2 linked regions of the Daphnia pulex genome follow. The protein of the gene in region 2 binds, or shares a complex with, the protein of the main gene of each other region. Links are inferred from orthologs where the notes say so. Each region holds a gene or a part of one and is shown on either strand. Other genes may lie near its edges. The genes, in order: pre-mRNA-processing factor 19-like and pre-mRNA-splicing factor syf1 homolog.

Region 1 (10,672 bases), on a different chromosome or scaffold from region 2:
TTGTCAAATAAATGAATCATCATAAAACAGTTCTGATTAATGTGTAAGCTAATTAAAGTAGTTGTGTCAACTCTTTAGGGAGAAAAAAAAATGCGTCAAATTAAAGAAGACAAATTTTTTGAAGGGCAGAAAATTTTATTCATTCAACAAAACCACGCTTCCAATTACAAAAGATGCAACAATGCAACTTGATAGAAGCGACGGTTGAAGGAACTGTTTTTGGGCGACTTACCTCGTACTTTATCTGGAAAAATCTTGATTCAGGATAGCAATCCAATATGAAGAATTTGAACTATGAAATTTGAAATTAACGTAGTATGATCTCACTATTCCTTGTTTACAAGAGTCGACCGGCATTTTAGGCCAAATACATAAACCCCTGTACGAAGGAGCGGCCGATGCATCGATTGCCTAAGCCGCCATTGGGATATGCTTCAAGAAAGCGAAAATGCCAAGCGAACTGCCACGCCACTAGTGACAAAATTTCGAAGCTTTTTGTTTTATTTAATGTATCGATAGTAACGCGGGAAACTTAACTATCGATATACACTCGTAGAATTGTTTTTGATGGGAAAAATGAAACGCGTGTATTTTTGTGAGGGCGAGAGTTCGATGCGGTTTGCACACCTTACAGCAAAAAAAAGGATAAGACGAAAAATGTTCATTTAAAAATCCCCTCTCAACATTGAATACAGTGAATCACTCGATGCCATAAATTTTCAGCGTACGATCCATACTCACAGACGCTATCGACTGCGCATGGTTGCCGAAACGGACTCCCATAGCCAATGCTGTATGGTCGTTAAAAGTCTTAAGAGTTTCCCATTGCTTGCAGAGATAAACACGCACGTCGGTACCAGCCACAGCAAGGTAGGTGCCGCTTTGATCGAAGCACAAGTCCTTAACTTCGTATCCTTCGTCGAGCTGAATTGTTTTAAAATTCTTCAATTTCCGTAAATCCCACAATTTGACGCAAGAGTCTTCTGCCGCTGTAGCCAAATAGTAACCATTTTCTGAAAATGACAAAGCCGCAATAGGACCGGAATGACCTGTAATTGTAAAAATGGTAATAGTAAAGCTAATGTTTATCACAAGATTATTTTAAAAGAGCCAAACCTGGAAAGTTGGCCACGTTAGATTGTTCTTTTAAATCCCAAATTTTGATCTGTGAATCTTGTGTTCCAGTGCCGAAAATGAGACCATCTGGATGGAACTGGGCTGTCGTAAGCGGATTTCCGTCTGTGTCGGCAACCTTTGTCAACAACCGCCCAACGCGAATGTCTGAAAATGCCCAGTGTTGATCCAGTGACGTCGACAAAACATATTCTCCGGTTGCGTGGAGCGACAAGCCTGTGACAGGGCCATCATGAGCACGGATGATGGCAGATTGTGAGGAGCCGGTTATATTCCAAACACGAATCGTCGCATCAGGAGATGCTGTTATCGCGACTTCCTATAACAGATTCAAGGGGTATATTAGTATCATATAACAAAGTAAATCAAGAGAAAATTAAAAGAAAACATGAAATTACCTCTTCTGGATGATAAAGCACCTTGGTAACTTTTTTTGTATGTCCCTTGAGAACAGCAACAACCTGCTCAGTGTCCTTGTTAAAAACTGTAGCGCATCGATCGTTACCTCCAGTCAAAATATGAGAAGTATCGGCGGCGTGAACGTCCATGGTCAAAATTCCGGGCATACTTGCACTGTGCAAAGCCTATATGTAATCAATCCATGAAGATGGGATAACATTTCAAAATTATATGTCATTACCGGATGAGATGCCAAAGTTTTATATCCCTTCAAAGCTTCTGCTGTAGCTAAGCCTTCGGGCATGGTTTTGCCTCTACGTTTTCGTTCTTGAGTAAGAACAGTGGCTTTATCTTGTAATTGTGATATGATTTCCGGAGTTAATCCAGCTGCCTCGATCGGTTGTGCTGCCACACCACCCGCTTCAGCCTTACATCAAATCAGTAAATTTATCATAAATAACATACAAATAAATATCATAATGCTTTCTTACTGAGGCAGCAACAGATGGTGTAGATACAGCAGCATAGCCAGTCTGGGGCTTAAGAGTTGCAAGTGCTTCCCGTGCTGTAGACACTTCCTTGTGGAGGCGTGCAATAACACGACAAGCAGCATCATGTTGGTAGAGAGCATGACTACAAATAGAAAGAGAATGTTTGCACAATAATTCCATGTGTAATTAAGTTGGTCAATACCTCAATTCTTGTCGAGCAGTTTGTAATTGTTGCCTCAAAGTAAAGGAATTTAACATGACAGCATCCCATTCATCTTGTAAAGACTTAAGCACGGCGGGAATGCTTGTTGCAGATGGCACTTTAGGCTTAACAATTGGGGGGGCTAGAAACAAAATTTCAATTACATGTAAATTCATTGTGGAACTTTGATAAAAAATTTCTTACTTTTGATTTCAATAAGTTGATCTACAGTTATTTCTTTCCCATTGATGGGATCTACCCCGTTATCAGCAATGTACTTTTCAATCAGCCGACGTTCAAACACAGATCCTGACACCGGTGAGACCACAGGATGTTCGGGAACTTCGTTCGACACTATATAAGCAAGAGATATAAGACATTAAATATCAAATTTCTCAGAAGAATGGATTGGTTTTAAATTGATATTTATAATGAAAATGTAATATTACGAGAACAACAGAGGGCCATGATGAAGCGTGTAACCTTTTTTTATATACTTTTCACAAAAATGTGCGACAAGCCAAGATGCATATGTTCGCTTCGCTTAGGGCTAAACAGTTGCTAGACTACACTATTCAATAAAGCGCTTCATTCCTCAGTGCGAGTTTTCTTTTCTTTTCAAAATCCAATCATTTTTTTAAGACTCAGAAATTTTTTTATTGGAATGTGTAAAAGAAACAGCATAGTTTTTTATAAGTAATAATTTCATAATTTAAGTTTCAAGTTTTCAACTAGAAAAAGTGTCCAGGCAACGGTGCAAACTGACTGAAATGCCGGGCCAGCCATTTCCCCCATTTCTCAACTGAAGAAGCCAACCCAAGCGCAGTGCGAACACTCCTCGAAAATTTGAAAGATTCGTTTACTGTTATATTCAATTTAAACTGAACAATGGCCTCTCAACAAAAATTCCCTGGAAAAGAAGGTGGTGATAATTCGAATGAACAAGGGTAAGAAATTTTTTCCATTTATAATATGACATGTGAAGTTCATGGGAGAATGTAAATCCATGACGCCGTACACTAAGCTTTTCATGATTTGCGTCCATTTACTATTTTTTGGTACGAATCTTGTTTTTTTAGTAAAATGTTCATCGGAGGTTTAAGCTGGGAAACGACGCGCGATAATTTGCTTCGATATTTCAGTCAGTATGGTGAAGTTGTTGACTGTGTGGTAATGAAGAACCCAGAAACTGGTAGATCGAGAGGGTTTGGGTTCATTACATTTGCTGATCCTAACAATGTTGGTTTAGTACTACAAAACACACCCCATATACTCGATAATCGCACAGTAAGTTTTTATATTTTCTTCATACTCTTATTTGCACTACCTGAGCGGTGATAGAATGTTTAACATAATTTTATCTCCTTTCGCGGTATTGCTACATAGAAGTGGAAGGAATTGAAGTTTATATCTCAACTTGAGATATATATTTGATTTCTTTCTACATTTTTGGTTGTTTTTTATGATCTCATATTTTTATGTTTATGCAGATTGACCCCAAACCTTGTAATCCACGTGCCGAAATGGTACGCGCTCCTCGCCGGAGTATGGGTACAGGAAATGGTTACAAAGTATTTTTAGGTGGGCTTCCATCAAACTTGACAGAAACAGATCTTCGTAACTTCTTCTCGCAGTACGGAAAGGTCTCTGAAGTCGTTATCATGTACGACCAAGAAAAGAAAAAATCTCGAGGTGAGTCACTTTCCTCAATTAGTGGGTATTAAAGTTAATTAAAACAGCGTAAATAAACTATGAACGTCCTTACATAACGTATGACGCAAGTGTAAGTGGTTATATTCCGAAGATTCGATGGATTCCTTTTTTGATAACTTTGCTAACTTTAATAGTGTGGTTATTTTATTCCTATAGGTAAGCAAATGGCTAAGTTCCTATCCACGTTTACTTCTACTGCTCATGTGAAAGAGTTTCCGCGAATTACAGTAGATAATATGCCATTAAGGAACTTGGGAGGGTGGATTTACAAGTTTTACATCTGACTAAATATTGGCATACCCATTGGGTTGAGTCAATATTTCTTTCATAATCACAACTCTAGTTTTTAACGATGTATTAGATTTATTTCTCTTCAAGTATTAGAATCCGGTATCAATCTCATCAGATCTACAGTCAAAAGTTATGGTTGAAAAATAATTTAGTCAGGCCTGTCCCAAGATTTCTTCTAATGATTATTAATGAGATCAAAGAAAGATGTAAAGAAAAGTGGTATAAAAAAAGTGTAATAAGCAATTTGGAAAACCTTGGGACAGGCTTTGGCTTTTTGACCTTTGAATCGGAGGAGTCGGTGGATCGCTGCACTGGTGAACACTATGTTTCAATCAATGGAAAGCAGGTATTCTATCATCAAAACAACAACCAATGTCCCTCTCCCTTACTCTTTGTGAAAAACGCAATCGGAAGTATGAATAATCAGGGCTCACCATTGTTTAAACCTCGCCGACACTTGATCTTATATATTTTTAAAGTTTATTTAGAAAATGTATCTAACCGTCGAGTTAAGCTGGTCTTTGTACCAATCTATTGGTCTTCTAAATAGTAATTGTAATTAACTCATAGAAAACAATAGATAATCTTATCAATAATGTAACAAGTTAAGGTCGGTGGTGAGCTCTCTTTATTGTTTTAAAAAAATATGAATGCATAATAATTCGTTCTAATGTTAGAATTAACATTAGTCATCAAACAAGGAATAAAGATTTCTTTTGGACCATAGGTTGAAATCAAGAAAGCAGAGCCCCGTGATACTCGAGGATCATCTGGTGGAATGAGACGTGGAGGACACAATGGTGGATGGGAAGGTCCGGGAATGGGAATGCATGGGGTAAGTCACTAAGCTTTCTTGCTCAAACTTAAGTTACAAACAGATTTTAAATAATCGATTTGTGTTTTTCTTTTTTCTTTTTTTTTTTTTGCGTTTTTGCCATTTAGGGTATGGGTCCTATGGGTGGCCCAATGGGTGGACCGATGGGCCCTCCCATGGGTGGTGGTTATCAAGGATGGGGTGGACCTGCCAATCAAGGTGGATATGGATATGGACCCCAAGGTGGATATCAAGGATGGGGCCCACAAGGGCAGTGGGGAGGATATGGAGGAGGACCAGGAGCTAATTATGGCTATGGTAATAAAGTGTATGCTGATAAAGTGATTGTTTCTTCTCCAGGATATATTTCGAAGATAAATTGGCTGAGATTTTCTAAATAGAAGTTTTTCCATGAATCACATTGTCTTTGATACCGCGTAGATGAATGAAAATAAGAACGTGTTAAACTATATAGGCCCTCAAGGTGGACCTCAACAAGGTGGATACAACAACTGGAATTGGGGAGGACCGGGCCCACAAGGAGGTGGACCTGGTGGCCCAGGTCCCAACGGCGATATGTATGGTAGAGGTCCTAACCCAACTAATGGTGGTCCTCCGGGCGCAGCTGCCCCTACTGGACCTGGAGTTCCTGGAGTAAAAGCTGAACCTGCTCAGTACGGTGCTGGATACGGAACTAATGGCTATGGAACAGTAAGTTAATTGTGCGAGTCAAATGTTACATTTTTTTAGGAATTCAATCGTTTTTTTTTTTATTATTATCCAAGGACGTTAACCAAGGATACAGAGGAGGATACGCCCAAGAAGCTAACGCTCAAGGATATGGAGGTGGACAAGGTGATTGTTAATTTAGTTTTTACAAAAAAGGATCTTTATGATAATTATGGTTATTTTTTTAGGCTATGGAAATCCAGAAAGAGTCCCACCACCTGGCGTTGCACCTGCCGGTAATGGTCTTGGTGTTCCTGGAGCAGGAGCCGGAGCTGCTGGCCCTGGAGGACCGGGTCCTCAACGAGGAGGTGGTCACCACCACCAGCCGTCGCAATCTCAATACCACCCATATCGCCGAGGAGGCGTTTGAGAAAATCATCAGTGTTTTTTTTTTGTGTGTTTTAAGTTGCACATTGCTTAGCCCTATGGCTGGACAAACATTTAAATGATGGCCAATCTGTCGTGCATTCGGTGTGTTCTTGTCTGTATCGTTTCGACGTTTCTCTTTGAATCCCGCCCTAACATTACGTTCTGAACCTGAGCTATTCATGACTTTTCGATGCGTTCGAATAAAACTGTAGTTAATTAGTTCTTAAATCCTTGTGTGCAAGTTTCTTTAAAAAAATCCGAGATAGTATGCACTTTCAAACTTCCGATTACACGTTGATTGAATTGCAATTTTGCTGGTACTGATCTATACTAATAACAATCACGATTTACACTTTGATATTTAATAAACTACTGATCACTTATCTTTGAAAAAAAAAACCTGTCTCTAAACTTTTTCAACAGAGGGCTGGGTAACCCTATGACTTCTCTTGTGTTTTGGGTAATGTCGTCTGCAACAATGTACAGTACACAACACAACTACACATTGTTCTGCAAGTCAGTTAAGAGATCTACTAAAATTTTAAATAATTCACCATTTCTTTAGTTTAAATTAAGCACTCGTTAAGCTTCTACGATAAAAAATTAGATGACTTCGTTAAATTTGTTGGTGGGTTATGGATCGGATAGCTCGGAAAGTTCTGGAACGGAAACAAAAGAATCAACACAAACAGAACTTGCTGAAGATCCTGTGAAATCAAAAATCAAAAATAATTTTTTTCAGGTTTTTGATGATAGTAGTAGTGGGTATGACAAATTTCTCTATGAATTTTTTAAATTTCTAAATATTTCATTTTTTAGTGAAGAAAACGATCAAGCAGATAACTTTTCGTTGCAAGATGAACATTTAAAGAACTTGAAAAACCCTTTTCGCAGTTCAGAGACTTCAGTGTCAGGAAAATCTGTGTTTGCAAATCCATACAAAGAAGCAGAGGAAGCAGAAAAGGGCACACTTGAAAAGCATGTAAAATTCACCCCCAAACTTGAAGACATCAAAGAAATCAATGGGAGAAAAATTTGCTGGAACTATAGGAAAGGGAGGTGCAGATTTGGGTCAAACTGTGTCTTTGCTCATGACTCTGAGCTCTTGCAGAAGAAACAAAATCAAGAAATAAATCAGCAAAGTGTAAGCAGTTCTGATTATGATCAGGACTCTGTCATTACATCTCAAACCACTTCTCATGCAACAAAAAGACCAATTTCTGCTACCAGTCAAAGTTGTTACACTGCAAAAAAAGGTAAAGGGGCATAATCTGCACCATTGAACTTAAATTCAACTTGTAAATGTTAAAATGATACACTTGAAATTTCCAGAATTTGTATTACTGCAAGAATACAATATTGTATTTGTCTAAGAAAATGAAGGTTATTTTAATACTACATGGGATATAATGCACTTGTAAAGGGTAAATGAAGAAATTGTAACACGGTCGCTTAAGTATTGACGGCCAAATGCTACAGTTTATCGGCGATCATCATTTAGTAGACTAGCTAATAACTTTAACACGAGCGTATTGCAACTTTTGTAGTTATTACAAAGCAGCAGTAAGAAAATCGTAGTTATCATGAGTCAGGTGTTCCCAGAAAATTTTTCTATTCTTGCTTTCTTTATTTCTTCTTTTACCTTTGTATGTGGGGGGGGGGGGGAGTTGATATAGTGAGAGTAGAATAACTTGAATAAGAACTGAGACTCACAGGAATCAGATTTAATAGTCGGTTACTTAACGTGCCCTTGACCATATGTGCTGAGAATCGCTACTAAACTCCATTAACGTGTGGTCCTATCCAGCCATTGGTTCGAGGGCTTCCAGTCAGGTCATCTTCGTCGTCGGCTGCAGATTTTTGATATTCAGATACAAAAAAAAATTATTAGTCAAATTCTACGAGACTTAAACTTAAAATAAAAGTAGAAAATAAGGAACAAATACTAGGATACGAAAAAATTGTGATTTGCTAAATAAATTCTGTGGTGAAAATTCTCCTATGATACACACGCATGCATCCGACTCGATCATTAGCCATCAAGCTCGGTGTTCCTTACCTCAGCCCAATTCCTCGTGCAATTCAGCTGAGTCAATAATTTAAAATATGGATCCTTTAATATGTAACTATAACTTACACAATATTTCCCCACAATGTATGTGAACTCCCCTGTGAACGGTACAAACCCTCCCAGGATTTCCACAACACACACAAGAAAAATACCAAATATTTGTTATCGGATATTGCGTTACCTGCAAGTTTGAAGCAGAATTTTTTATTATTTAACCATTCCTCTTTAAGAGAAAGGTTGTACATAGAGTGGGTCGGATCGCCCGTCACGTTATCGACAATGTCAAGGAAATCGGGCAATTTATTAGCTTGGAATTCCTCCAACGATTGCGTCGTATACGTTTCCAACAACACTAGGCCGTGGCATCTATGAAAAGCGTTTTTGGTATAGTGAAGTGTTTCTGTTGGAAAAAATCCAATTGCTAAGTATACCTCGGATGGCAAGGCTCTTTGTAAATATCCAGTTGGAAATACTGGTTGTGATAGAGAAAGCAACGTCTCTTCTTTAAAATGGTTAGGTGAAAAGGATCACGTTGCTCCAGCATGTTAGTGTAATCTCTGCTGGTGATTTGCGTCTTGATTTCTACCACTTGACCACGTACTTCCGGCCGACGTACAGTTAAGGTGTAACTCCAGCGATCTAGCGACATGCAACGAGCAATCAATACACAACGAATTCAATCAAATTATTAATCCTACGGATAGAAGCTCACCTTTTTGGCCTCTTTTTCTTAAGCGAGCTTGCGTCTTCTTTGAATTGGTCTGTAAATAGTCATGAATGACGTCAAAATCCTCAAAAGGAGGAAACATACTGTCATCGGGCAATGAACGAACTAAGAACTTGAACTTCTTAGCGTTGGTTTCCAAACGGTCTCCAGTGTCCAGACCCATTCGCTGACATACGGCCTATAAAATCGACGAATGAAAATAAGTTGTTCCGAATAAACAAAATTTACCGTAAGCTTACGCTAATCATGCGACGGAGTTTAGTATCGAAATTAGTCGAATTGTCGATAACGTCAAAATAAGGATGGCCAATCCAAGCTTCAGCCGCACGATCATCTAGTGTGTGGGCCAAATCCAGATTTTCACTCCGGCAAGAGTGATCCTGTTGTTGATTTAAAAACATGAATGAGTATCACTAAATTTCATTTTAATGTATGTTATTACCTCAGTAGTGTAAAAGTCCTCAGCGCCTTTGGCAGCTGATACCATGTGGATTATCTGGTTGTATCTCGTGTCTCTTAGCTCAACCGGATTCCACCCGTTTGTTTTCATCAACTGCTCCCAAACTTCCTTTGAGACAACTAATAAAAATAACTAGTTTAATAGACATAATCCATGAGATAAAATGTGAAACGACATTGACTTATTATTGCGTAAAACTCCATTAACCACAATTACATACACATGTTATATATTGATAACATAAACTTGAGCCAAGCGTTTTCTCAATAACCTTGAGTTTTATGGTCATGCTATTTATCAAGGTGAAACTGGTTTAACGAATATCACGCTATCTATGCTAGAAACCGCGCATTTAATTACTAAACCGCGAAGCTATATTATACTGGCAACATTTCGTGAAGAAGTTGGAGAAATCATTTAATCTCCGGGATGTACTACTTTCAGCAATCAATACTTTGCGTACGTGCTTCACGTGGAATCACGCAATTTCTGCACGATCTCGCCAACTTCATCTCCTGTTCGATTCAAAGCGAAATCGGACCACTAGTATTGGTTTACTAACATGTTCGTGGGGCATGTCACTATAGATCCATCCTTACTTGCAACTGAGCTAGACTAAATTATTCACGTGGAAAAATGAGAACGAAATCTCTATGGCAACTTACATGCGGATGCGTCCATAGTTCCTCGGTCGCAAATAATAATGCAATCGCGGTTGAAATGTTCAGCAAGAGCGAAAAATGTATTCTCCATTTGGATCATCGTCTTCAGCAAGTTCTCTTGAAATGTGATAGCTGCATGAGAGGAAATAAAACGAGATGATAATTTGATTAAACTACATATCATCAACACAATTGCAAACTGGAGTCTAATGACCAATCAATACGGGATGGACGTGTACATTTGACCACATCCTTTTGTTAACGTGACACACGATCGGTCGAAGGAGGAGGGGGGTCATCAATGATTCAGTTCGATCGCCTTCAGACGATATGCGGGGATGATATTTGATCAGTGAAAGCGGATAACGGGAATCGACTAAACCTCAAGCAATGCGCATTCTTTCAGCATCTAACATTTGCAGTCGGTTCCCATCGATAACAAGTCCCACTGACGAGGCTTCACTTGGCAGCAAATTGAACCCCAATATACAAAGGCTCGAATGTCCGCTATTCCGGCGGGCGATATCTAACCCATCCATCATGAATCCATAACAAAGTTTCGCAACTTTTTTCTCATCCTTTTAGTTTCACCACAGTTGAACACGAAACA
Region 2 (10,713 bases):
CTGATCCCGACACTGCGGAAGCTATACCGTACGTTTTTGACCTACATGTTGAGTCGTTTTCAGGGTCTCACTTTTTAGGTAAGTTTATATTATGTAACCGCTTTTACTATAGAAACAGTCCTGGGGCGCTACCGTCGTCTTTATCCGTATGCAGTGGAACAAGAAATCCCTACCGCATTACTGGATGACATCCGATACGCTGGCTTATCTTATATCAATGCCCTTCACACACTAAAAACTTCTAACTAGTAGTTGACAGATTTGATTAAAAGTCGGCAAAAAATTTTCAATTGCAAGCCAACCAATTAATTCACCGACCGACTTTTTCTCATTCATATTTGTCTCGGCAATTTGCGAGTTTTTACTCCGTCAAAACCACATTCACACTAGAGTGAATGAATGAGCAATGCATTGCAAAAAAAAAATCATGCCAATTAATTATCAAAGACTAAAAAATGGTGCTGCAAGGGCAACGGAATCAAGGCGATCGAGTTCCGTCTACATCAGAATATACCATTTAAAAAATGACGACAGCGTACGCCATTGTGTTTACATGGTCAGCTGGCTTGGATACAGGATTCTCGTAGACAGTATGACTACGATTCCTTCTGTTAAGTTATTTCTAGAAAAATCTAACAAGAACAGGAATTAACGTTCAATCATAAAAATCTGTTGATTGTTTTTTTGTTGATTGGCTTTTTGCTTATTGTAAGAAAAATGACCTGGAAAAAAGTCCGTGTCCAAATTGGGTTCTAGAATCACCGTATAACAACCACAGGGAATTTACATAGTCTGCAAGTTTTGTAGCCGGTCAATGCCTTTTCTTGTAAAAACGGTGCCATGACGTACGCAATGTGAGCTTTTAACTTTCTCTCCTCTCGCAGCTACGACTACACTTTTTCTCATCCCTCCTCTCACTGAACAATTTCGAAATCAACTTTACACCTTCTAGCCGGTCTTCCAGATTCCCGAATTTCACAAACTCGATTGAGGCTTGAAGCTAGACTACCTGTTATATCAGCAGCTATATAAGCATTGTTGAGGTTACTTTTGATCATAAAAGAAATCTCAGTTCGAGTGGAGAAATCCTCTTCTGTTCATCGCAATGAAGGTAGGCAGTAAAATAGTTTGATTATAAAGATAGTGCTACATACAAATTTCCAAAAAGATATTATATATAGCATTGCGAAAATAGATAATATTTTTTTGTTAATTTTAATTATTTGTTCTAATTGCTTCGCATTGCTCGCAGATATTTTCACTTCTCTTCGTTCTCTTCGCCATCTGCTTTAACGTGTTAATTGAAGCAGCTAGACTTGAATCAAATCCCATCATACAAACTGATCTCGAGGGTTCTGAATCGATACCATACGGAAGATATCCAAGTCGCAACCGCGGCCATCCTTACCTCGGGACAAGGCACACGCACCATCGCGTTGTCGGATGACGGGACAAGTTTCTCCAATTTGATGAGAGTGATAATCTTTCTGGACAAACCTGATTTAACTCATAGTTGCAGGGAAATTTACTGACCTTATTTTTGTGTCCTGAATCTTTGAAACGCAACAATTTTAATGACTCACGAAGATACGTACTGAAATGTACTTTATATCTTCACGTTTCATTTTTTTTTCATGTGCTAACGTTTATATCGTGAAACCTGCGAAAAATGTATTCGGACTTGAAACCACGATAAAATGTTAAACGAATTGCGTATTCCCAATTGAAAGCCTTTCAAGGGTAACTTCAGGGTGATCCAGTATTAATCGGCATGTAATACGATATTGTGCATTAAATATACACTTCCTGCATTGACACTTGCTTTTATTGCGCCAAGTTTCCCCGGCAGTGGAAGGACTAGCTAACCTTTCGTACATTTGAATCGCCGAGTAAAACAGAATGTGTGGGAAATACATACGGTCGTTTCCTGTTCTTTAGAGTTTGGTGTTTCCCTGAGAAGTAAAATCCTACAAATCAAAAGTAGGACAGACGACGAAAAAAATCGACAAATTTCATAGGCGAAAAAAAAAATCCAATAACCAATGAATAATCATTAAATTCCCGATAAATCTTTACGCTTTCCCACTATTCCTGGTACATCGGTGATTCAATTCCGACAAATAATTGCACATGTTTTAGCCATCCGTCGTACAGTGTCAAGGTAAAAGCTCGAGACGATGGGATTTTCGCACAAAATGGTCGAAACATTTACCGCGCGTCATTATGAAGGACAAGACCGTTTATGACTTTATGATAATGCCCTTGATCTGTTTAGAAGGTCTCATATTGTTTACTGTACGTGTTTCACAATACATCTGATAACGTTTTATAGTTAGGCCCATCTTAGCACAATCCGGTCCAGACGAAAGGAAACTCCTTCTACACCTGAAAGATTTCCCCTCCGGGAACTCTGTCCAGGATAAATAAGCCGTGGAGGGCCTTAAGCGTGTCATATAGAAAGTCAAAGCTGTTGAACGAACACTAGCTAAAAAAAAATCTCTCACTCAATCGCAATGAAGGTACGTAAAACACAAAAATTCAAAGAAAACTCTTTTAGTTATCATCAATGCAATATTTGATAACCGCATTGTAACGTAAATGTCACATGTTAAACATTTATGTAACAATAAGTTATAATTGTTCTGTTATAATTAGGTCGTTTCCCTACTCTTGGTTTTCGCCATTTCTTGTTCGGTGATCATGGCAGCACCCCAGAACTTTGAAGCCAACCCCAGCATATATGCAAATATCGCCAACGTGCATGCTAATATTGCTGATCTAGACACTGCTGAAGCCATACCCGGCCGCAGATACTACACCGGTAGCCGCACTCGTTCAAGAATGTCCGGTCGCGGTATGCATCGAGGATAAATTGCTACGTGATCTATCTATCGTGTTCTTCTGTTTCGCACTTCTTCGTACGACGTAATTGGCTCAGCTCAAGTCAATTTACTTGATATTACGCAATATTCCCGACAAACGTTTATGCCTTGGCAGAAAGATCGTCTATGTTGTAATTATTTGTATGCGTTGTCGTGAACGCAGCCTTAAATTAATGTCTTAATAAACGTTTATCAGTAATTACTAGTGAAATTAAAATGCACAGTACCTTTTCTGTAAAGAAAACTCATGTATTGAGCGATGGAATACGTTCAAAACTTCTTTTACGTTACTCGTTATTGGGCTTCTTCTTCATCTTCTTCATCCTTTTTCAAGCTACCAAAGACTTGACGTGGAACTTGCTGTTCTTCAATGGTAGCTTCCTCTTCTTCCTCGTCATCGTCTCCATCTTGATCAATGTCGATTTCGTCAGGGTTAGCAGCAGCAGCAGGGATGTCCTCGGTTGCGGAACCAGGCTGAGTTTCACTCCGGACGAACATGATGTTGCTCCCAGCTCGCGCCAGAGGCTTGGCAACAGGCTGATAAATTGTAAAAATTGCATTAAAAGAAGATAAAGAGAAATGTAACGAGTTTCATTACCACTGGAGGGCGAGATTCTTCAGCTTCTGCATCTAGCATTTTCATGCTATCCTGAGAAGCAGCCGCCGCTTCGGCAGTGTTGGTCGCAGCAGCTAACATTTGAGCTGACATCATATTGATCTAAAAGCGAAAAATGTAACAAGAAAATTAAGATCGGCTTCAAACTCATCAGGTTGAGACTTTACCTGTGTATTATATGTTGCCTGCACGCTGCGTTTGATTCGAAGCATTTCCCGCATCGTATCTTCGTTGCCATGGCGAATTTCAAACTCTTTCCAAACCTAAAAAAAATGATGGGTGAATAACTTTCTAGGACGGAATTGAATAAAAGATAAGATACCTTCCAAAATTCAGGCGCAACTCTGGGGTCGCACATTTGGCTGCAATGTCCGTATACAGCACGGGCTCTGTCAATTTCTCCCAATTTGCGCTCCAAATCGGCAAATCGCAAACACATTTCCCTAGCCTGGTGATCGGGTAGCTCTTCGATGGATCGTTCATAGATGTGGCGCGTCTTGGTCACACCATAAATCTCGGATGCCTTCTTTATGTACATATTGTACATGTCAAAGCGCTCATTTGCTGGCACAGCTTTGGTGGCTCTCTCGTAAACGTTCATAGCGTGACGGGCTAAGCCGTGTTCCTCTTCGAGTTTAGCGTAGAGCATAAAGAAAGTCTTGGCAAACTTATTCGGACATCCCTCAAGACACTGTTCAAAGAGATCTCGAGCTCGTTCCAATTTTGAGCCGCCGTAGCGTTTCAAAAACTTTGAGAGATAGGTGTTCCAGATGTCGTACACGTTGGGCCATTTGAAAAGAGCAACGCCACGTTCGTAAGCTTTAAAAGCTTCTTCAAAGTAGTTATTTTCCTCCAAAAAGATGGCATAGTTCATAATGATTTGCGGTGTTGCAATTTTCAACTCGAGGATACGGTCATACACGGCCTTGCATGTTTTGAAAGTACCAAAGCTTTCTTCAAGATCAGCGTACAAACCCCAAATCTAGAAAATAAAAATGTGACAATCGTAGAGAGATCATTAGAATGGAAGTGGCTAAAAATATAAAATACCTTCAGTGACTTATGAACACGTGTTTGCACTTGTTCGGCGTCATCATGGTAATTAATTTTGCGTGCAGGAGGAGTTGTAACACGGTGCATTAACTTGAGAGCTTCTTGGAAATGAGAATTTCGGATCTCCATCTCGGCCCACTCGCACCAAACAGTCGCCAGTTCATCAACTTTCACGTATTTCACCTTTAAAGTGACACAAAAATGATGAGGGGATCAAAGGCTTTTAATGCACTGCAAAAACAACTTACATGCGTAGCTTTTTCGAAAACTATCCGTGAATCGTCAATCTGATCATTTTTCTCATAAAATTTGGCAAAGTCGACCCACAGCGTGTGCACCTTTCCAATGGCCTGCTTTGGATCGACTGTCTGGACAGCCTCGGTAAAAGTATTGATAACTTCATGAGGTTTGCCCTCATAAAGCTGGACTCGTTTATGCCACTCGGCGACATTATGGGGGTTTTGACGTAAAAGAACAGAATTCAATAGCAAGGGCCGGCGATCCATTAAATCCTCAAAGCGGGCCATCCTCAACTCAACTTCAATATCATCGTCTTCTGTAGGATTAGGTTTCTGACCAATCTCTTCCATCATATGATTCAAATTCAACTCTTCAAACTGGGCATAGGCATCAAACACCTGTCGTAAATCAGAAAAACGTTAACTTGATTCGCATTAAATAAGACGACCACAAAGTATTTTACCTGTGTGAAGTCTCGTACTGTAGTAACTGTCTGAATGGCTTCTTCGTAAATATCTCTTGCTCTTTCAAACAAACCACTTCTAATATAGTAATCGGCAAGGGAATTCCAAAGCTGGCCAAGTTGATCAGTGTACCTACATAAGAATCCAGTAAATTATTCCTATGTTTGTAAAAATATTTGCATTTAATTTTTTTCCAGACACTCACCGTCGAAGACCTCCTCGAATGATTGCATCCACGTTAAGACTTTTAATTTGCTTGGGATTTTTCGAATTAAGTTCGCACAGTTCATTCCACAGTTGGTGGTTTGATTTTCCTGTCTTCGAAACAAAGCTGTCCTTGTTCACAATCTGGGCAAGTTTAACAGCTGCCTCATCAAGTCTGTCAATAGATTTTAAGTAATCGACAAATTCCTCTGCATCTTCGGTCGATAGTTTAAGAAAACGACGGAAAACTCGAACAGCTGTTTCTGGTATTGGATGCATTTTAACAAACTTCAAGTAGAGGGGCCAAATTCTGGAATGCTGGGTGATTGGCAAGGCTCTTAGAGCACGGTCAAAGACCTTTCTCGTAGTGGTAATCTTCTGTTGAAGAGTCAGAAACTTGCAATAGTCCATCCAAATCCTTGGCATCTATGGTATTCATTAAAAACATGGTATTTAATAATGTGTGATAATAATATAATTGGCATTTAAGATACCTTGTGCATGAATACCAATGCTCTTTCAAAAGTATTGTTGGCATCTTCATACAGTGGATCTGTTATACAGCGACCTTTAGTTTGCTTCCTTCTTAGGCAGAGATAACTGTACCATAGTTTGTAACTGTGAAGAGACAAACATGTGGATAGTTGAAAATGAGTACAAACTTATTTACTATGTACTACTACAAGAACCAATCAAACGAACCTGCCAGGCATTTCCTTCAAAGCTCTCTCATAAATCAAATTGACAACAACAGGAGGGGCATCCTTTTTGAACTCGCAATAGCGAAGCCAATGTTTGACAGAGTAAGGGTTCCGTAGAATCTCCTCTTCATACGCTAAATCTTCTTCACACTTTAAAGACAGAAGACATATTGTTAAAACCTATTAGTCAACTTCAATATAAAACAATGTATTATTACCAAAACAATGTCTCCAGTTTTCTTCCCTATACTTTTATCCATTTTGTTTATGAATTTTCTCGCAGCCACTCGGCTCAAATAAAATTTAACAAATAAATTTACGAACCAAACGTAAATGCACGTCTGCCGGGTGAAGTGTTGCCAAGTTGCACACTTACGTCTAACCCAAATTAAAGTTGAATTTTGTCCCTAATAGCGTCTTTTTATATAACGAGATCATTATAAAAATGGATTATCACAAGTTTTTATAGTAAAAATACCTTATTTTTGCGTTTGATGTGAAACAGCGACAGCCGACAAGCCACAAGCGTACATTCGCTGTTGTTTGTCCCCTCAGGCCTAAATTGAAGTGGGGTCTTCTGCTGTTTACAACCGAATATGGCCGACACTGTCCGGCACCCAGATGAGGCAGATAATTCTAATTCACAATTCCCTTATTCCTCGGAACAGTTACCAGATGAATACGTGAGTTTAAAAAAAAAATTATTGTTCGTCAACTGAAATTGATACTTGTCTCTTTTTTTTTCAGGGCGATGATGGAAAAATCGACCAAGACACCACCGGTAATGGAGAAATGTACGAAATCGAAAATGAAGATCATATTGCCATAGACAGAAATGACGGAAATACGGAATACGCTGGAGAAGGCTATGGTAATTTCATGTACATTTTTAATTATGGAAAAGTTCTTCAACTATTATCCCTTGTCTCTTTCCCTGTGTTGAATCGCTTGTCTGGTTTTCCCATAACAGTTTTAACATCCTGTATTTTCTATTGTAAAAGATCCAGAAGAAGCTGCAGAGACTAACGAAGAAAAGGATGAGAGACAAGATGAAGATCAAGACAATGATGACGATGAGGATGATGAAAGTGATGATGACGTACAAATCACGATTGGTGACATAAAATCTGGCCCAGCAGCTTATGCTGGTTTTAATGTCAAAAGAGGAACAGCTGGAACAACGGCACAAGGATTGGGGGAAAAGAGCAAAGTATACATTGAGCTACATCATGTTTGATGCAAGAGTTTGTTTTTAACATATGTATCTTATCTTAAGTTCACTGTGGAAGAGTTCGAAGGCTCAATGGCGATTAACGGTGTACCAGCACATGAATTTAGTTTGGATTCGCTGGAAGATAAACCTTGGAGGAAGCCTGGTGCTGATATCACTGATTATTTTAATTACGGTTTCAATGAAATAACGTGGCAAGCATATTGTGAGAGACAAAGGCGATCCCGTATGGAGTCTGGGGCTGGTGTTCCGGCTAGCCTTGGATTAGGACCCCCACCCAAGGTAATAAAATACGTAAACAAATGAAGCTCAAAGACGATATTATTATTTTTTGATTCAGATGATGGCGACCCCGGCCCAAGCGATTCCGATATCAGTGGTTAACGAAAATTCAAAATATGCGGGGTCAGTGGTTGTGAAAAAAGCAGGCCCTCCGCCAGCACGCAAAATGGCTGGTGCCATTGATGTCATTGGTGGAGGGAATCTATCTTCACGCCGACCAGAATCAGGCGTTTCACCTGCTCCTTCTATGGAGGAGCAACCTCCCGAAGTGGTAAGGCCCCGTATCCTTAATAAAATATTCATCCAAAGTCAACCAAAAAACTTTAAAGTTTATTATTTAAATTTCATTTTAATATCAGCCTGAAGCTCCTGTGGAGAAACCTCCCGTATCGATCGATTTCTCACGTCCTCCTCCTGGTTTTCCAAATATGGCTCTACCTCCTCCATTTGGTATGCCGCCACCAGTAATTCCACCACCAATGATGTTACCACCACCACCTATAGTACCTGATCCCTACGCCAATGAGTTCATGGCTGGCCCAGGAGCTCCTGGCGATGATTATTACCAATACGAACCTACTCAGGATTCACAGTGGGGATCTTCGGTAAGGATTTTAAAGACCATAACAGAAAACAAAACAAAATAAAAATAACTTTTTCCTCTTAGGACTGGAGAGGACCACCACCTATGGGAATACCACTACCAATGGGAATGAACCCACCGGGAAAGCAAAGAAGAGAGAGCCTGGGGACCCCTCCTGTTCCTGGAGAAGAATCTCGGTACTGTATATAAGTGGTACTCGATCTCCGTACAGCATTTGATTAGCTCTTCCTTGCAAATAGGATAAGCAGCAGCAGTCGAAGGCGCCGTAGCTCGCGCAGTCGCTCCCCTAAAGACGACCGAGAAAAAGAAAAAGAAGTGGAAAAGGATCGAGGCAAAGACAGAGAAAGGGATCGTGACCGCGATAGAGACCGAGATCGCGACAAACGGTAAGAGGAAAATCAAACGTTGACGAGCTTCTTCTGAAAATGCAATTGATATATTTCGTTCAACTTACACAGGGATCGACGCTCGGATAAGGACAAAGAGCGTGTAAGTGGCCGTGACCGGGAAAGAGATCGTGATCGTGACCGAGGAGAAAGAGACCGTAGTGATCGTAGACGTCGTCACCGAGGCAGTAAAAGTCGGAGTCGGAGTCCCACTTCTCATAAGCGTTCCTCCAAGCGCTCAAAGAGGGACAGAAGTAAAAGCAAAAGCTCGTCTGATTAGTTTTCGATACTCGGATTTCACTCCCTGCCTTTGTTAAATTTTGCGCAATTGGCCCAATTTAAAAAAATACACTCCTTTTTTCATTTACCTATTTTTGTTGATTTTCCTGAGTTATTCGTCTTAATCACAATTTATTTCAGCCCATCGAATAAGATTCAAAAAGAAAAGATTCCAACGCATATATTCGGGATGTATTTTTTTTCAAAAATGAAAGAGGGTAAAGTCGGTTGCACAAAGAGTGTGTGCTATTACGGAAATACATATGGAGGTGTTGTCTTTTTTCCAACCACAGAATTTAATATTAAAAAAAAGGAAAACTGTCTTTTCGATGGAGAGATTGAAAGAGAGAAGCGTTGATTTTCCAGAAAAAAAGGATTTGAGGAAGGAAGCGGATGTGGGATGTCGAAGAGCGAATTCTGGAGGGGACGATTTTTTTGTACATGAATCATGTTTACAAGGGGGGTGGGATAGGGGAGGAAAGAGCACTAGTGATATTTTTTACAGCATTTCGTAATTTCAATACATAACACCAGCGTTTACAAGGATACATTCTAATAATAAAGGTCGAAATAAAAGCCAAAATCAGGAAATAACTGACGCAAAAACCAAGGGATTGTAGGAAGGGGAGAGCTACACAAGAAAAGAAGGGACAAATGTCCAAAAGGAAGTTGGTGAGAATTAAAGAGAAAAAAGAAACAATTCACAAAATATTGGTCCGTGTGAGAAGAATCCACGGGATAAAGAGCAAAGAATTTGAAATAAACCAAGTAGCGTCAGCAATAAAGGAAATCTACGAAGCGGACCGGCGTTCTACAACTGAAAAAAGAAAAAAAAACAATAGGAAATCGAGGAGTTGAAAGTTTTGGAGAAATCCGCAAAAAAAGGACCCACAAAGTTGGTGACGTATCGTAGCGAATGAGTGTGTGGGGGTCACACCACACAGCTTGACTGCCGCACACAACGTAAATTTACAGTCGATGGGTGGAGAAAAAGGAGAGAAAAGAGCATTTTCCTTCAAAAATCTTTCCACTGTTTTTACTTCGCTTGGTTTTTGTTATGTAAAATAATGGAAAAGGTTCGCTCTTTTCACTTTTGCCGCTGTACACTTTACAGAAAACCAAAACGCTAATTGAGGATGGGAAATTCTGTTTTGGGATCAAGTAAGGGGAAATTGATGTCATTTCTCAAGTCAATGAAGGAAGGGAGAAGCAATGAACAAAACAAGGAACAAAAAAAAAATGAAATAAACAAATCGTGGTGAAAGGAGTTGTTTCGTTTTTCTTGATTGGCAACGGCACCTCCAATCTCCCAAACGGAGTGTGTAGCTTGTAGAAATTTACGAAGAAACACAGAAGCAGAGAAAACAAAATCAATAAGCAAGCGCAACTCAGCGTAGACACGAAGTGGGTAAAAAGGAAGTGATCAAATAATGGACCACCAAGATGGCGATCTAAACCGACCCCTTTAAATCTAGCGAATTGAAGTGAACATCTGGGAGAGAGGAAAAGAATCAAACACAGAGCTGTTTTCATTTTCGGTGGATTGATGATTCACAGCCGCGAAACTTATCGACACAATCCATCAAATACCGATCGAGAATCCAAGAGAAACTCGAATGAGACGGTGGAAGAGAAAAGTTATTTCTTCCCCCTTCCGACTTTATAACGTAATATCATGCAGAGTTGGAGGATGGTGAGGGGAGGATGCGGACCAGTCGATTGAATGAGGATAGATGAAGTCGAAAAAAAAAAGGTTTAAAGTAAAAAAATA

What was found.
Region 1: pre-mRNA-splicing factor syf1 homolog (region 2) and pre-mRNA-processing factor 19-like share a complex: the UniProt entries of both Homo sapiens proteins name them as parts of the XAB2 complex. The link is inferred for Daphnia pulex from reciprocal best matches to the Homo sapiens genes XAB2 and PRPF19.

What each region holds. Positions count from the first base shown.
Region 1 is NC_060022.1:3,387,585-3,398,256, reverse strand, and holds pre-mRNA-processing factor 19-like, read right to left. Parts: upstream 2,808-10,672; 5' UTR 2,695-2,807; coding exon 2,676-2,694; intron 2,581-2,675; coding exon 2,431-2,580; intron 2,369-2,430; coding exon 2,227-2,368; intron 2,167-2,226; coding exon 2,025-2,166; intron 1,961-2,024; coding exon 1,775-1,960; intron 1,719-1,774; coding exon 1,533-1,718; intron 1,454-1,532; coding exon 1,117-1,453; intron 1,050-1,116; coding exon 700-1,049; 3' UTR 562-699; downstream 1-561. Other genes in the region: heterogeneous nuclear ribonucleoprotein 27C-like, read left to right, coding at 3,115-3,173, 3,306-3,513, 3,717-3,918, 4,494-4,576, 4,958-5,065, 5,173-5,362, 5,520-5,755, 5,830-5,899 and 1 more; uncharacterized protein LOC124195731, read left to right, coding at 6,750-6,907, 6,962-7,412; TRPL translocation defect protein 14-like, read right to left, coding at 7,919-7,992, 8,395-8,579, 8,645-8,852, 8,926-9,118, 9,180-9,320, 9,383-9,519, 10,066-10,194. UniProt on the Homo sapiens protein: Ubiquitin-protein ligase which is a core component of several complexes mainly involved pre-mRNA splicing and DNA repair. Required for pre-mRNA splicing as component of the spliceosome.
Region 2 is NC_060020.1:2,900,436-2,911,148, reverse strand, and holds pre-mRNA-splicing factor syf1 homolog, read right to left. Parts: upstream 6,730-10,713; 5' UTR 6,639-6,729; intron 6,578-6,638; 5' UTR 6,421-6,577; coding exon 6,379-6,420; intron 6,311-6,378; coding exon 6,162-6,310; intron 6,078-6,161; coding exon 5,954-6,077; intron 5,886-5,953; coding exon 5,461-5,885; intron 5,388-5,460; coding exon 5,255-5,387; intron 5,190-5,254; coding exon 4,800-5,189; intron 4,735-4,799; coding exon 4,549-4,734; intron 4,481-4,548; coding exon 3,821-4,480; intron 3,762-3,820; coding exon 3,666-3,761; intron 3,601-3,665; coding exon 3,481-3,600; intron 3,420-3,480; coding exon 3,177-3,419; 3' UTR 3,111-3,176; downstream 1-3,110. Other genes in the region: pre-mRNA 3'-end-processing factor FIP1-like, read left to right, coding at 6,757-6,843, 6,908-7,031, 7,162-7,370, 7,437-7,673, 7,732-7,944, 8,033-8,278, 8,341-8,453, 8,517-8,663 and 1 more. UniProt on the Homo sapiens protein: Involved in pre-mRNA splicing as component of the spliceosome. Involved in transcription-coupled repair (TCR), transcription and pre-mRNA splicing.